3 linked regions of the Drosophila melanogaster genome follow. The protein of the gene in region 3 interacts with the protein of the main gene of each other region in a pairwise test. Each region holds a gene or a part of one and is shown on either strand. Other genes may lie near its edges.

What was found.
Region 1: the proteins of Slc45-1 (region 3) and CG9926 interact in a two-hybrid assay, tested with the Drosophila melanogaster proteins (one large-scale study listed by BioGRID).
Region 2: the proteins of Slc45-1 (region 3) and CG6769 interact in a two-hybrid assay, tested with the Drosophila melanogaster proteins (one large-scale study listed by BioGRID).

The regions. Positions count from the first base shown.
Region 1 is NT_033777.3:13,948,648-13,952,919, reverse strand, and holds CG9926 (uncharacterized protein), read left to right. Parts: upstream 1-1,781; 5' UTR 1,782-1,841; coding exon 1,842-2,537; 3' UTR 2,538-3,466; downstream 3,467-4,272. Other genes in the region: CG31517 (uncharacterized protein), read right to left, coding at 3,810-3,837, 3,922-4,085.
Region 2 is NC_004354.4:17,859,154-17,863,735, forward strand, and holds CG6769 (uncharacterized protein), read left to right. Parts: upstream 1-1,848; 5' UTR 1,849-2,010; coding exon 2,011-2,526; intron 2,527-2,684; coding exon 2,685-3,047; intron 3,048-3,120; coding exon 3,121-3,471; 3' UTR 3,472-3,622; downstream 3,623-4,582. Other genes in the region: Arp8 (Actin-related protein 8), read right to left, coding at 1-849, 915-1,500, 1,569-1,573; mnb (minibrain), read right to left, coding at 4,467-4,582.
Region 3 is NT_037436.4:9,202,523-9,210,648, reverse strand, and holds Slc45-1 (solute carrier family 45 member 1), read left to right. Parts: upstream 1-1,795; 5' UTR 1,796-2,676; intron 2,677-2,768; exon of another isoform or gene 2,769-2,824; intron 2,825-4,035; exon of another isoform or gene 4,036-4,343; intron 4,344-5,129; 5' UTR 5,130-5,148; coding exon 5,149-6,551; intron 6,552-6,876; coding exon 6,877-7,051; intron 7,052-7,111; coding exon 7,112-7,333; 3' UTR 7,334-7,584; downstream 7,585-8,126.

The sequences.
Region 1 (4,272 bases), on a different chromosome or scaffold from region 3:
CAGTCAATGAAGCCAATAAAATGGAACAAACCGATGGCAGCATAAATACTTGTTAGTTGCTCATACTCACTCTCTTCACTCCCAATGCTTTCTGGCCAACGGAAAAACTTGGCTAGGTAACTACTTCTGGCCTTTTTGGTGTCATAAGGAAGCGTCCAAATGATTCATAATTTATGCCTACCCGTCGTTTTCCATGGCCATTCCCCCCATTCCCCATTCTCGTGACCATTCCTATTCCCAATCCTATTCGCTGCTTTCGTTACTTAATTTCACCAACTTAACGCGTTGGCTTGTGCCCGTTGGCCCGGCTTTTCCATTCCCCCAATCACCTGTAATTGTAATCCATTTCGGGCTTGCACAGGAAAAAAAGGAATTACTTGGTTTAAGAAAATGTGCATAATGAATGAAAAACGATTGCCATTTGAATGGGATCTCAACTATATACCATTTTTATCATTCAAAGATTTAAATGAGTACTTTCTTAAATACTTTTCCTTCGACCAACTATTTTTTCTCTCTCTGTAAAAGTGCGTGGCCGTCGACGCAGTGGCTGTCGCTTGTCTGGTGCGATGATAGTTGAAAAAATTACTTACAAATTACATGCGTAGCTTAAGCCTCCCATCGCCCCGCTGCTGCCTTCAGCTGGCTTAATGTGCAGGAAAATGCAGGAAAAGTCGGGGCGGGGCAATGTGGGCTGTGGGGTATTAGTGCTGTGGGTCTCGTGGCCCGATCGTAAATTGCATTTTCCAATTGAATTCCGAGTTCTGTGCACTGTCAGGCGGACGAGGTCGTCGGAACAGCCGCGGAATACCCTAGAATAAAAATGATTGCTCAGCAGTGAAACAACCATTTCCCAGAACTTTGGCCTGGTTAATTTCCCATCGTTAGGGGCAAAGTGACGGGCTCATTAGCATATAAATATTGTTGTAATTACGCCTGGTAAATAATGCAATTTTGCCATTTTATAGACCCTGCTTGTGCTAAATTAAAATTATTATAATTGAGTTAAGCGAATGGAGTGGTGGGTAGGTAGGCGAGTGGTAGGGCTTAGTGGAATTTCGCATGGCTTAAAATGCAGCACGGAACATGGCCATAAAGTGTAGCTGCGTTTAGCTTAAACAAGTCGACAATTTAAAAAGCCAATTTGCGCATAATACGGCGAACGTGAGCGAAAATTCAAAACAGAACTGCACACGCACTCGCAAAGGTGCAGAATGAATAAGTTTTCAAATCCAAGTGCAGGTAGCGTGTTGTGCAAATTTCTACGCAAATGACCATTAATGCAAATGCTGTTTGCTCATTAAAGAAACATTGCCCGCCCACCAAAAGTGACCCAAATTCATTTGCCATTCGGAATGGGGGGTTTGTTTTGAATGTAATCATGATCAAAGTGAGAATATATTTTTATTATATTTATTCGTTTTTTATTTTCATTATTAAGGCCTATCAATTAGCTTGTTTTGTGGCATAAATGTCGACTATTTAAAACGATTTTTTATACAATCTTAAAATGCATTTCCAAAATATATCAACAGTTCCTTTTAAGACCAACAAATTTTCCATTGTTTTTTTTAAATAAGAAAATCTAATGCTATGAATGCATGAGTTTGCTTATATACACATTAAAAATATATAAAAAATCATAAAAATAAATCAAATATTTGAAAACTCTAGCGTTAGTCAATACTGCCACGAACTTTCGTGCACAGCCTGATCTGCGCTGATCTGGCATCACTGTGCTATTTCCATGAAAGCGATATTCTTCTTCTTCGAGAACTTTAAAAAGTATCACTTGGTAAAAACCATTTTAATCCAAAAATTAGCCAAGTCGAGTGAAAAAGATGGGACGTCGCCGAGCCAAGATGCCTAATTTCACCATTGGCGACTTTGTGTTCGCCAAGTTGCGCCGCTATCGCCCCTGGCCAGGCCGCATCCTCAACCGCATCGGTGCCACGGCATATAGTGTTTACTTCTATGGAAGCTGCAACTACGCCAAAGTGGCTCGCAAAGAGGTCGTCGACTACGAGAAGAATCTGCATCGACTTGGAGTGGTCCAGCAAAAGGGACACGTCTGCAATCCAAGTTTCCGGGCCTCCATGCTACAGGCACGCGAGGCATTCGACAATCCGGATAAAGATTATGGCTACTACCAGCAGTTGGCTGTGAACAACGGCGATTGCATTAACGCCGAGGACCTGGGACTGGAGTACCTGGTTACCGAAGATCTGGGCAACCTACTGGACGAGCAGGCTGCCACGGAACAGGTGGTGGCGGAGAAGGATGTCAACGAACAGGTAGCGGTGGAGCAGAATGTGGAGCTAAATTCACTGGGGCAGATCTTTAGCAACCAGGAGCATGAGAAGGATTCAGAGGATTCTGCCTCGAATTGTCAGCTAGAGGAGAAGGATCAATCAAATTCGGAGGTGGTGAAGGAGCAGGTCTCCGAACGGCATTACTCGATGGCTCAGATAGTTTCTCTGAAATCGAAGAAACTGATGGATACTCCAATTAACATGACATGCCAACGGCGACGCTAGTCAAAAAAAAAATCAGGAGCTGGATTCTACAAACTATGACGAAATGATTTGTTTGCACACACAAAATGTAGCACTTTTTTGTATTAAGTACTTACGCGTATTTTCATTCCTTGACATGCAAACAAAATCGTAATTTGAATAAAATGTCAATCAAAATGTACTTAAACTTAACAGAACTAAACTCATTATATTGTTACCAATCAACATTATACCTTATTATAAACATTGACTTGTATTCCTTAAAGTAGATGAGTCAAATCAAAGTAATGAAAATTTAAGAACTCCCTTTTTAGGACACAACATGATTTGACTCAACCAAAACGGATTTCGGGAATTGGCGGGCCATTAAGAAGACGTGGGCGTGCCTCTGGCCATAATGGCTGTTGCGTGATCCTCCACTGCTGACCTCCACACATCATCCAGTCAGGCTGGGCGCTAATCGAAGCTCGACTTTGGGCGCACGTTTCCGCATTAAATGCTGCACCATCAGCATGGTCAGGTCACCACCCATCAGCCATCATGGCAGCCACCCCCGGGATGAGTCTCCCCAGAGGCGTTTGCTGGATAGTTTAGCTAAATGCCGTCGTAAAAGAACGCCGGCCATTAAACCAACAAGCCGCGCAGCAGAATCAACATCGAAGATTCCCACCCTACTTTCGGCTGATTTAATTGGACAATGCTGCAACTGGAGGAGGAGGAGCAGGAAGAGCACGCGGAGGATTACAAGAACTTTCTGGACGAAGTGCAAGCTGCGATGAGGATGCTTCGATTAACAAATTATCGCCACCGCAGCAAATTAATCGCAGCAGCAGCAGCAGCCTGGCATCTGTAGAACCAAGCACGGGAATCCGAATCTGGGTTAACGAGAGGACGACCGATGACCGCAAATCAGATTCACTAAGCCGGCAATGAGATTTCCCGACCGCATCAATTTGTTTTAATGCCAGAGATGCATTTGCGCCGCTCCAACAGATTGCACCAGCTGGCAGAGCGAAACGCCAGGAGCTGCATCCGAAGCGGGAGGTGCACTAAGGAAAATCAGTAGGTGGGTTCATTTATATATATATTTTATTCATATTTACAGCATCATCGTTCGTATGTGTATAGCCATGAAAGCGAATCCTTCAGCAATCCTTGCCACAGTTGTGTGCTTCCTTCGTAGACCGTGTTCTCAGTGTATCTCATACTTTTCCGAGTGACCGAGATGCTGCTGCAAGATCCCTTGGTGGCTCCAGCATCTTTGGTCATCTCGACAGCTGTCTGCTGGTGGATTTAACGTTGTCCTGCGTTGCTCTGCGGTCTGGACCAGATTGTTAAGTAGTTCGCCGTGCGATATGCATATGGATGGATATATGGGATGGGTTACTCGATGGCCTGAACATACCTCATTCCCGTCGACGATCCCCGTCCTGGGCCGTAAAATGTCAAATTAATGTTACAACATGTCCAGCGATTTCTGATGGCATTTGACAATGTCGAGTGGAAATTCCTGCAGGTGACGCAATTTCCCTGTAATTTGTTTGGCCGCACGTACCGTCGCCACGACATGGGGCATTGTCAGCTCGTTTGTGCCTGCCCAGCATAAACAAAACATCCAACCAAAACCGAACCAAGACGATCTGATCCAAAACGCGCCCAGGGACCTGCAGCCCAATTGGAGTGTGGTGTGTGTGGAGTATGTGGTTAGTTCGTTTATTGGATGGCCGGTACTTGATAGTTGGTTATTGGTAGGTGT
Region 2 (4,582 bases), on a different chromosome or scaffold from region 3:
TGCACCCAGCTGCGACTGACAGTTGCTGATGGTCTCGTCTTGATCCACCACAATGAGCTCCTCATCGTCGGCGGTCACAGGCAGCTGCGGCCGCGGCTGGTATCCGGCGCTGGTGGATAGCTGCAAGATGTCGCCACCCCTTACGCCATTTTTTCGACCCGTCTCCTTCAGATACTCCGCATCGAAGCAGTCCTCGCAGTCGTATTGGTCCTGCACCGCCTGCTGTGTGAAAACCGCTTTCGTTCGGCCCGTGATGTTCAACAGCTCCGTGTGGAAGAGGGCCAGTGGCGCCATTAGGGCCTCATCGCCCACCTGTATGGTGTAGCGCAGCCACTGGCCGTTATGTTTGCGCAGGTTGAAGTGCTTCTCCTGGGCGCCACAAACGCTGGCGTTCAGGTGGCAAAACTTTTCCTTCAGCTCGTCCAGCAGATGGGCATCCACATAGCTCTCCTGCACATTGCACTCGCGATAGGGAAAGCCGCACTTTCGCAGCAGCAGGAGTAGCACCTGATCCAGGTCGCCGCCGCCATAGGACAGCCGCACCCTGGCATCCAGCTGCGAAATTCCGTCCTCGATGCAGGCTATGGAGGTCTTTTGGGCGCCAATGTCCACCACACAGCCGTACCCAATGCCGGCGCCAAAGGTGGAGGCGACGCTGTCCTGGACGAGGAAGCAGCGCCGAAAGCCCAAACGCCTCAGCAGCAGGGTCACGAACTCGCGCAGATGCCGCCGCACATAGACATCGTTGACCACCAAGACGGCGCAGTGGGTGCCCAGTTTACGCAGCGGGATCTTCAGACGCTCTTCCAGGGCGTACGACCAGATTCGTTCCAAGTGCTGCATGCTGGCCTGAAAAAAAAAAAACAGCTTCATCAGTTTAGTTTGGAAACTACGAGGAACAACGCAGCACACACTTGTAGCGAGCCGCCCTTCTCGTTGTGCACATTCAGCTCGCCCCTTTGAATGGGAAAATGGATGTCGTAGTTGCGGGCATCCACAGCACCGAGTCGCAGGATACGGTCGTCGAACAGCACGGGTGCCTCGCGATCCAGCCAGGGCTCGTCCGCCATCTGGCCACTGGGCGCCGGCACCTTCTCCGCCTGACTGCTCCGGTTGAAGTGGGCCAGTTGCTGCGGCGGAGTGGCCACCCGCAACCGGTTTTTGTTATCGACGACGCAGTGCTGCAGAATGCGCGACACCACCAGGCGCTGCTCCTCGAACTCCACCATCAGGCCGGAGTTTGAGTTGACGTTGTCCAGCGGCGGCAGCAGCGGATCATGATGCGGCCTATCGCTGGCCCCCGGACGCCTCCTGTAGGCCACCGCGTGCAGCAGGGTCAGCGGATTAAGGTCGGCCGCCCTGCCGATCCTCAAGTGCTGCGATCCAGGATGGATGACGATAATCTTTGGCGCCTCCAGTGGCTGCGCCTGCGGCTGGGGCAGCCCAATTGGCGGCGGCGCCGGATGCCGGCCACTGCTGGTGCTGCTGGCTCGGGATCGTCTGGACGAAGGGAGAGTAGCCAAGTTGCAAAATTAGTTGCTTCACATACCACTTACTTATTCACTTACTGCATCGTTTGCTTTCCGAAATCCGGATCCTTTGAAAATGCGGAAATCGGAGGCAACAACAAATGGCAACAAAGCCAATGTGACCGTGGTGCGCAAATGAGAACATTTATAAAACAGGAACACAGGAAAAACAGAAAGTTAAAGTAATAAAAAAATAGGGCTGATTTACAAAACTCATTTTTCATTAATTACTATTAATTCATTGTTGAAATTCAAAGCACTCATATATATAACATATAACAAATTCTTTGTTTAGTATATTGTGTGTGGATGGTGCCGACGTGAGTGCCGTCTGGTCACACTGTCAAGAACGTGGTTTTGTTTTTTAATCATCACCATTAAATTGAGCAGCCTTACTTTCCATTGTGAAATACGCCATTCCAGAGTGCCAACGAAAACGAGAGTGCCAGTCAAGCGATCATCGAATCCACTCAGCGCCACAATGTCGCACTTCACCTGCCTGAACTGCGATGCCCGCTTCGCCAGCGCGGATGTGCAGCGGAATCACTACAAGACCGACTGGCATCGCTACAATCTGAAGCGCAGGGTGGCCCAGCTGCCGCCCGTTACGGCCGAGGAGTTCCAGCAGCGCGTTCTTAGCGCCCGCAGCGCCACGGACGCGGCACTCGAGGAGCAGAACCTAAGTGTCTACTGCCACGCCTGCAGACGCCAATTCGCCAGCCAGAAGGCGCACGACAACCACCTGAACAGCCGCAAGCACAAGGAGCTGCTGGCCCGCTTCGAGCGCGAGCAGATGACAGCTAGCGGCGGCAGCGCCAGCACCGCCACATCCGTGTGCACGCGCAGCGTCGTGGAGCAGCGGCCCCATCCGGCCCTGGCCGCCGCAGCCGCTGGCAAGGGTCGACTGGCCTTCGCGGAGCGGGTGGTCAAGGCCAATAACGACGAGGAGATGGTCGACGAGGACGACGATGATTTCGAGGACATTGAAGAGGAGGAGGTAGGAAGCGCTATGCAGATAGAGCTCGCATTAGACTTTTCCTTGCTCATAGAAGGGTTACCTTGAGAATGATTTCCTTGGAGATTCTATGCCTGGTTAAGATATGCACCTTTACAACGTATACAGCTTCTTATAAAGAACAACTTGATTTTTTGCAGGTGGATTCCGATGAGTGGGACAAGATACCCGAGAATCCGCTGACCGAGCGCGACTGCCTGTTCTGCACACATGCCAGCGAGGATCTGGTGGAGAACCTAAAGCACATGTCCGTGGCGCACTCGTTCTTCATTCCGGACACCGAGTACTGCACGGACATCGAGGGCCTTCTGTACTACCTGGGCGAGAAGGTGGCCAACTACTTCATCTGCCTGTTCTGCAACGATCGCGGCAAGACCTTCTATTCCCTGGACGCCGTGCGCAAACACATGATCGACAAGGGCCACTGCCAGATGCTGCACGAGGGTGTGGCGCTGGCCGAGTATGCCGAATACTACGACTACAGCAGCAGTTATCCGGACAATGTGAGTATCACATAGCACAAGCAAACCTCCATTTATGCTGACTGAATCTTGGAAAACCTTTTAACCCGCACAGAATGAGGGCATGGACATTGACGAAGAGGTGGTGCCGGATCTGCTCGATGGCGATGAGTATCAGCTGGTGCTGCCCTCAGGCGCGGTCATTGGTCATCGCTCCCTGCTTCGCTACTACAAGCAGCGTCTTCGTCCGGAACGCGCCGTCGTCATCAAGAAGTCCGACCGCAAACTGCACCGCGTGCTCAGCGAGTACCGGGCTCTGGGCTGGACGCAAACGCAGCAGCTGTCCGCCGCCCGCAAGGCACGCGACATTCATCTGATGAAGCGCGTCCAGTCCAAGTGGCAGATGAAGCTCGGCTGCAAGGCCAATAAGCTGCAGAAGCACTATCGTGCACAGGTTCTGATCTAATCATCGCTTGCTTTTCTTTCCAAATGCTATTGGCCTCCCCCCTACTTGTACAATAAAAAGTTTTTGAGTTTTGCTTAAATTAAGCATATTTGTTTGCTTTCTATATTACTAGCGATTTCTCGTCGAATAAAATTACATAATTTAAATTAACAATTAAATAAAGTTTAATTTTGATTCGTTTATATAAAGTAAAAGTATGTCGTTACGGTTACTGCATAAAGTTAAACATTATAATTAGACCAAAAAAAAAAATAGGTTCTAGCGTGTAAAAAAATAAACTCTGCCGAATCCATCAAGGCGCCCACACGGCATCCCCTCCCCGATCCCGGGCGACTGGGGGCGTGGCCGGTGCTGTGGGCGCGGCGGTGAGAGCTCGAAGTGACTAATCAGTAAGAACCGCAGGTGAGTGAGTTTTCGTGTGTTTCGTGGGACCTGAGGGTCAATTTCAGCTAGTTAATGTTAATGTATTTTTATTTTGGACATGTGTCTGTGTTGCAGTGATCTTCATCGGGCGTCTTGTCTTACAATGAACCAAGAATCTCAGCTTCTTTTCAGGAAAAGCTGAAAGTGTGACTATTACCACTCAAACAAAACAAAATGATCTTCGCTATTTATCCAATTGAAGTCACGTTGTCACAATCGCTAATTAAAAGAATTTTCATTTAAAATTGTCTACATAGAACAGAAATTTTCTTCACTTAAGATCTTACAAAAGCGCAGATGAAAATATTAACAATTATTCGTCAAAATTAGTAGTATATGTACATCGAAGTACATCGTACATGGTATGTAAAATTGGAAAAACGTGTGGACAAGACCCCCGATTACCGACCAACTATGGTGCTGCTGCGTTGGTGAATTTGTGGTTCCTTGGTTTGTGGGCGGGTGGAGGCGTTGGTTGGCGGTGCAATAAATAGCAGCAGAGAGCGGCAAAGGGCGTGAAAAGTAGTGTTTTAAGCGAGCATCCAACGTTCTTTGCTTGCTTCCAGTTTATGCTAATGTATAACTACAGGATTCTGTTGAACACAAACGCCCACCATGGGTGACGACGAGGAGGCATCGCTGCTGCTGGCTCCGGTGGCCGAGCCGCTGCTGCCACTGCCGACACTTT
Region 3 (8,126 bases):
TTTTTTTTTACATAATTCGCTTCGCTTTATTTGATGCCACACACAGGCTTCAATTCGAGATCTTGTCTCTGGCAAAAATCGCGGGTTTCCGCTAATAGTTCCTGTCAACGAGTAATCAAGCATATACATATATCCCAAACTAATGCAAACATAACCCTCGAAATCTGAGAATCCGAATCTGAACAATACAGCTGGCACAAAAAGTGAGGCAGCGGTGGGGGAAAAAGTTGTCCGTCATTCTTGGGGGAATATTTTAGCATCTTGATGAGGCCGAAATGAGATGGAAAGTTTGTCATAAACGGTAGTCAAAACACGAACAAATACTATCGTGTTATACGTAAATAACTGCTTTGTATATATAAGGCTGATATTGCCATTTCAAGGCATCCAAATGTATAATTTGACTTGGAATATGTTTATTGTCTGGCAACACGAGATATGGCAAACAAAACTTGTACCATTCCATCGTTAAGTAGATTCTAAACGGTTGTTAAAATAAAATCCGAGGTGAGATACTGGAGCTGTTACTACATCGTAATGATTCTTTCAAGTGCATCATAACAATAATCTCCTTTGGATGTACAATAATGTGGCTTCTGAACAATGTTCCCACCTTGAAGAAAATTATAGCCGAAGTCTGCAGTAAAATGCCATATTTTCAATGCCACACCTATGGGTTCGATAAATGACCATTAAAAGATTTTATTGCCAATTAATTATAGTCACTTGACTAATTCGCCTTTCGAGTGTTTCTGGCTGCTGAGATTTGATAACCGTGCGTCCACACCCCGTGTGTGATAACGTCAAGAGCTAAATAAATAAACCGATAAACAAACACTCGAAATCAAGTGGAATTTCCCAGCCTATGCGGCCAGTGTAATCTAGGATTTCAATCCACCCTTGGAAAATCACTCGAGAATCACTGTGCATATTACTACATCCATGAATGCCTATGCTATGAAACCTGTCGCCTGTGAAACAAGTTTCATGTGTGTTCACTGTCGTTCCCGGTGGCCAGAAATTCAGGTGAGCAAGAGTGTTCCACTTAGATGCTCAGAATCTACAATCACCTGCAGCAGGGCTAGATCAAATGTTGAGCTAGGTTGGCTCAAGAACCAGGAACTGTGCTAATGCTAATTAATAATTAACATAATTACACACAGATTGTGCTATGTCGTCAGACAAAATGCATTGCGAATGAGCTGAGGCGAGGCAAAAAAATAAAAAACACCTAATATCAACATCAATATTTATGGCAAGATTTGTGTGCAGAGAAAAAAATGCAGACCATTTAATATCTAATATTTATAATAACTAGTACATGTTTATTCATTAGGCTACACTCAGCTAAAGTTCTATCTTCATGCAAAAGTATCTTAGAATACTCATATAAATTCACAGAAAATAATAAAAAAAAAAATATTATTATTAAAAGTAACATAGTGGAAAAATTTAAGGATATTTGTTTATTAATATAATAAGTCTTAGAAACAATTGAAAGATATATATATCTTGGTGCATTTTGATAACTTGCCATGGAATAGTACTTATCTTTTCTCTCTGTGTGGCCACTGCTCCTAAGACAAAGAAAGGAAAGGCTCGACCGGACCCGATGCGATAAGACGCCGATCGGAGGGAGAGTGAATATGGCCCGCGATATGGAGGCCCGATCCCATGAAGAGTACTCTGGGATGCGAGAGAGAGAGGCAGAGCTATGGTAGACCGAGCTGCCGTCACATATGCCGTATAAATTGCTGCGTCCAGAGGTCCACCATTCAGTCGCAGAGCGAACCAGAGCAGACCAAGATCATCTCGAGCAGTTGTCCGAAGGCGATTTGGCCATCCAAAAATAGACCAAAGTCATCGAAAGTTGAGGCACCGCAAACAAAAAGTTCTGCAAAAAATAGAACATAAATTTTCCATTTCGTGCGTATCGATTCGAGGGACATAATTCGGAACTGCGCAGTTTGCCGGGAAATTGCGAGGAAAACTCTTCTTTCATGTCTTGCCAAAATCTTCGCAGCGTTCAGGCCAAAGGAGTAAACAGCTGCCGCGCTCGACAAGCGGCAATGTCAGCAGTTTAATAAGAAAGTAAAAATCATACAACCAAACGAATAACAAATCCATCGGGCAACGAGCAGATATAAAGTAGATATATCATTAAAATTGATAATAATAATAATTCGCCAAAGTGCAAGTGAATCGAGAGCGACAGAGAAGAGTGCGGAACAACTTTCCGCAGGAAAACAAAAACAGGAGGACCGAGACTGGGGTGCAAAAATTGATTTCGTTAGCCTTTTGCCAACACCAATTGCATGGGTAAAGTTATGAGAGTGAATTCATTATCGCCGCCCGCCCACAACTGCCACGCCCACGCTCGCTCCAAGCAACAAAAGCAGAAACAATTGAAATTAAAGAAAATCGAAATATATTTTATGTTCAGCAATTTGTGCAAGCGAAAAACTTTAACGGAGTATAATTTATTGACACTAAAACAAAGTCGGGATAGTGAGTGAAGCAAAGCGCTTAAACAGTGACAGTGATCGTTAAAACTTTAATCAACATAAAACATAAGAAGAAAAATTAGTCACATTTCGTAGCAAAAATAAATAGTTAGAGGAACGATTGCGTGAGGAGCGTGGGCTGTCAGCAGATCAAGGATTGCCACACATACAGGTGAGTTTGAGCCATTGCAGTGGATTATTTATTATAGCTAATAGTAATTATATAACTTTATTTGACTTTTATGGTCCTGTGCTTTGTGTTAGAGCTACTAAAAACTAGGTTGAAAACTAGAACTCTACAAGTGATACTTTTTATGCAAGTAAGTCCTTCTTTTATAAATACGAGCCACTTAAAATTCCAGTTTAACTTATAGTACTTGCAATTAATAATCAAATTACCCGAGTGTATCGAATTTCCTAAATACCTTATAATCGAATATAAGACGTCAATAATTAAATAGCCATATCCACAATTTCCACGAAATAAAATAAATTTCGTTAGAATTTTCTCCCATAATTAAGGGAGCCATAATAAAATAATAACACGGTTCATGCCTGTTCACAATAAGAGGATCAATTACGCCTCAATTGTTGGTTAAATAAACTGCCTATGTGCTGAAAGCAACCAATCTACACCTATATGTATATGTATATGCATATTTGTATGTATATCAACAGCACAGCCGGGTTCACACCCCCACAATAAAGTAATATGCATTTTAAGCAGCAGCAGTTTAATAATAATCATGTTAATTACAAAACGGTTTAATCGCCATGGAACCAGCTACGAGAGCAGCAACAATGGAATTCATCCGATTATTTCGCCGAAGACGTGTGAATTTAACATTGTGATATTTTGCTAACGGATTCAGCTATCTGAATGTTAACTATTTCCTCAATAACTCCCCGATATGACCTTGACCCCTTTATATGAAATGTTTTCGAATGATTCACTCAGGCCCCCGAAGAGTTGTCAACTGCGGAATGCTTATCAGGTGACTTCCTAATCGTAACAGGCAATTAAAGCCACCGGCTACTTAATTAATGCCCCAAGCTCATCATTTTGTTGCTATTTTGTTTATTTAAACATTTATTGACCTAGTCTGCGGCGATTTAATTACCAGCCGCCGTTCGTTCGTTTATTTTTTTTTTCCGAGAATATTTATACATATTTAAGTGCAAAAAGCGTCGGTCATCTAACCGTTGGCCCATTGGGGGGATTGGATTTGAAATTCCAGGAGAAAATAAGAGTAGTACAGTACTGTATCTACTACACCCACATGACCTGCAACTTGTCTCAATTACCACGAAAGTGTGACAATGTGAATGACACTCGAGCCGGCGGCGTACAAATTAGATGTTTTGTATTTTAAATTTATTCGAGCTTTTATTATGATTTTATTATTCTTGTTGTTAGTGCTCACGTATGGAGCAGATAGGTTTTGGTCAATGGCTCAGAGGCAACGCTCGCCAGCCAGACTATGTGATTAAAGATAGAGAAACGCGGAGACTCGCAGATTCGAAGACCCAGACTCAGTTGCGATTTGGACACGCGACGTTTTGGTTGTAGAAAAGTTTTTGGTGCCGCCTCGCCAATAGCCGTTTAAAGATCAACCGCAAAGATACAATTGAACCCAATATAAACCGCTGATACGTCAATTTGCAAAAGTGTTCGCCTGCAATAGTTCGAAAATGTGGCTAATTGTCAAGTTTAAGCAAAAGAGAAACTGAGTGAAAGATATTTGCAAAGTGTGATAATAGCTGAAATACTAAAAACCAAGAAGAGTGATCAAATTAGTTCAAATACAAAATAGTGATATTAGACAATTAGGAAATTAAGTAAGTTTATCGATGCTTTCCGATCAAAATGTGATAAACAACTATATTCCACAAAAATTTGATACTAACCCACATAGTAACAAAGCGCAGAAAGGGTCTTTTATTTGTGTATTCCGATTACACGACTAGGTTTGTGAACCCATTTCGGGGCTTACACTCGACTTCGATTTCGATTCCGCTAACCAGATAAGCCTTCGAGTGACAATTCACTCTCGTTTGTCTTTCGCTGTGATTGAATTTGTTTGTAAACAAATAGCCATCGTTCAGGGTTCGCACTCTATAGGCAGTGACACAAATTGCGAGCCGCAGTGCAATTGAATTGGAATTGAAATTCATATTCATTTTCATTTTCATATTTATATATTTCGCCACTGCCGCGTGGCCGCGCAGCTCAATTAATCAGAGATCTTTGACGCTTCTTCGACGTGCCGCACCAGATCCAGATGTTTCCACATTAATGGGTTCAATATCTCTGTTCTCGGGGTGCGATGGCAAACAGCACGATCGTCGTTTGGTAATTAAAGATTGAGATAGCGAAATTAATCCCAGATGTGACCCAATCGATTAATGTGTGGCTGCACCCCAGCAGTGGAAAAGTTTAGCAAAGTCGGCAACATCATACGAACTTTTTGAATCAAAATTGAGAAGATTTTATTTCCATAATATTACGGATGAATCCCGGCTTTGATTCATAATTTTTGATTATGCTTCTTTCTGTAATTTTTATTATAACTTAACCTAATGTAACATCTTCTTATATTTTACTTATATTTCTCCCTTTTACAGTCAGTAAGACCGGATCAAAATGGTTGGAGTTACTGCCGACGCCTCGCAGGCGAATCAGCTGTCCTCGGTCCGGAACCCGATGATCAAGTACATGCTGAAAACACGGGAGAATCATGCTCGGGAACAGGATCGCGACTACTCGCATGTCTTCCGCCGGAAGACGCGGTTCGAGATGTTTCGATTGTCCGCCATCGCCATGGCCATTGAATTTGCCTATGCGGCGGAGACGAGTTTCGTCTCTCCGATTCTCCTACAGATCGGTGTGGATCACAAACACATGTCCATGACCTGGGGACTGTCGCCACTGATTGGATTCTTTATGTCCCCGCTGCTGGGAAGTATTAGCGATCGCTGCAAGCTTCGTTGGGGTCGCCGACGTCCAATTATCTCGATTCTATCATTTGGCATAATGTGCGGTTTGATTCTGGTGCCATATGGCAAGGATCTGGGTCTGCTGCTTGGCGATGCCGGATATACTTATGCAGAGTCAGCCTTGAATTTCACATCTTCGTCGGGGGGATCTGTGGCTGCTTTGGTTTCGGGTGAAGCGACGACAGGACCTTCTGCATCCGACTATAAGTTCGCCGTGATCCTTACGATTTTGGGCATGGTCCTATTGGATTTCGATGCGGATACCTGCCAGACACCGGCTCGCACTTATTTACTGGATATGTGTGTGCCAGAGGAGCAGCCGAAAGCCATGACCATGTTTGCGCTCTTCGCGGGATTCGGCGGCACGATTGGATATGCCATTGGAGGAGTGGATTGGGAGACAACGCATATTGGCAGCTTCATGGGTGGCAATATACCCACTGTATTCACCCTGGTCACCATCATATTCGCGGTGTGCTATCTTATCACGGTGACCACATTCCGTGAAATTCCATTGCCCTTGATCGAGCAGGATGAGCTGCTGAGACCGCTGTCCGAACAGGCCATCAAGAAGGAGTTGAAAAAGAAGAACAATACCATTTACTATATCCAGGAGACCACACAGCTGGAGCTTCAGATGGCCAGTGATGATCCCAAGCGATTGGAGGCACTGCAAGGCAGCTATCAGAATGGCTATTCACCCGCTGTGGAGAAGCAAGGGAAATCCCAGGATTTGGAGACCCAGTCGGATTACGATGCTCCCGTCTCCCTTAAGGCCTATCTCAAGAGCATCTTCATCATGCCCTACTCGATGCGCATGCTGGCCCTCACCAATCTCTTCTGCTGGATGGGCCACGTCACCTATTGCCTGTACTTCACGGACTTTGTGGGTGAGGCAGTTTTCCACGGTGATCCCACGGCTGCTCCCAACTCGGAAGCTGCTCTCAACTACGAGGCTGGAGTGCGATTTGGTTGCTGGGGAATGGCCATATACGCATTTTCCTGCTCCATTTACTCGCTGTCGGTGACCAAGTTAATGAAGTGGTTCGGGTAAGTCGGCACACTACTAAAAATGCCATCGGAATTTGTTTAAGTGTAAACATCATTTTTCTTGCTTTGGTCAACAAATAGATTATAAAGACAAATTCAGATCTTGGTATTAAACAAATGAGGTTTTTCATTGACTGTTGGCAAACAGTGTACGAACTTCTAGTTGCAAACTGTCAAGTTTACCTTTAAAATTCTTAAAGACAGTAGCTTTGATTAACCACCTGAGCTATAATATGTTGACGTCTGCTTCCAAATCGAATATCTAAAAGAAATCCAAATGTATTGAATATTATATGTTAACCGTGATTATCTCGCTCTTTTTTAGAACCAAGGCGGTTTACATTAGTGGAATGATTTACTATGGTATCGGAATGCTTGTCCTGGGCTTGTGGCCAACTAAGTGGGGAGTCTTGGTATTCAGCACGTCAGCTGGTATTCTGTATGGAACCATTTTCACGGTGCCTTTCATATTGGTGGCTAGATATCATGCCAAAAATTGTGTAAGTATACTTGTAAGACCTTTAAAATTCAACTTCTTAATCAAAATATGTTAATTTCAGTTCTCTATTAAGAATGGAGAGATAGTACCACTGAAACAGGCTCGTGGATTGGGCACTGATGTGGCCATTATCAGCAGTATGGTTTTTATTGCCCAGTTGATTGTATCCCTTTCCGTGGGTCCTTTGGTATCCTGGATGGACACAACTTGTGCCGTGCTCTACGCCTCGACGTTTCTGTCCTTTTTGGCGGCCATTGCAGCCATGTTTGTGTTATATGTCTAGGAATATAAGGATATAGCGAACAAGTGTCCAATATGAACACAAATGTTACATGATTTTACGTAGCGTAAATGTATCTAGTTGAGTATCTTTGCCTACTTTCTGGCAGTATCTGCGACTGCACTCACAATGTTGTGGCATACTTTAAGGATGAAGCGTATATTGTACTTGTATTCATTGAACATTTAATTTTTTTTTGTAAACTGCATGAATTATATGAATTTAAATTAGTGAAATACATTTATTTCTACCTTAAATGACCCCTTCTTGACTCAAGGAAATTTATATCTTTCAGCAAAACAATGAGCTTGAGGGCGGATATTAGTTTTTACGCTCGTGCGTGGCATTCAAATGCAATTTTTAATTTCCTCAAGTGCACTTTTTTTCCCAGATGCTGCCAATTTCCTTAGCAGCTGCACATGCCACGCCCCTCACCACCCCGCCCTGTCCGGGGCTTTCTTGTAAGTGTCAGAGACACATTTCCGTTGTCGCCTGAGTGATAAATAGCATTTAATAATTTTCCGTGCGCACATTTCAGGTTCTCCACTACGAATAAAGCAATTAAATTCTCCTTTCTTGGCGGTGCATGCTTCGTATTCCAAATCGAGTTGAAGGTGGTCGAAAAGGCTATGAATGCATAAACAATAATTGTGGAATAAGAAAAAAGGTATATGGCTCATTGAGTGACGAGAGCATAAGTTGTGGGGCGGGTCGTAAAGGCAGGTGTCTTAATAAAACTAAAGGAAATACGGCAATGCTCACATGCAGAAACAATCGCAATAGAAAAGACATGAAC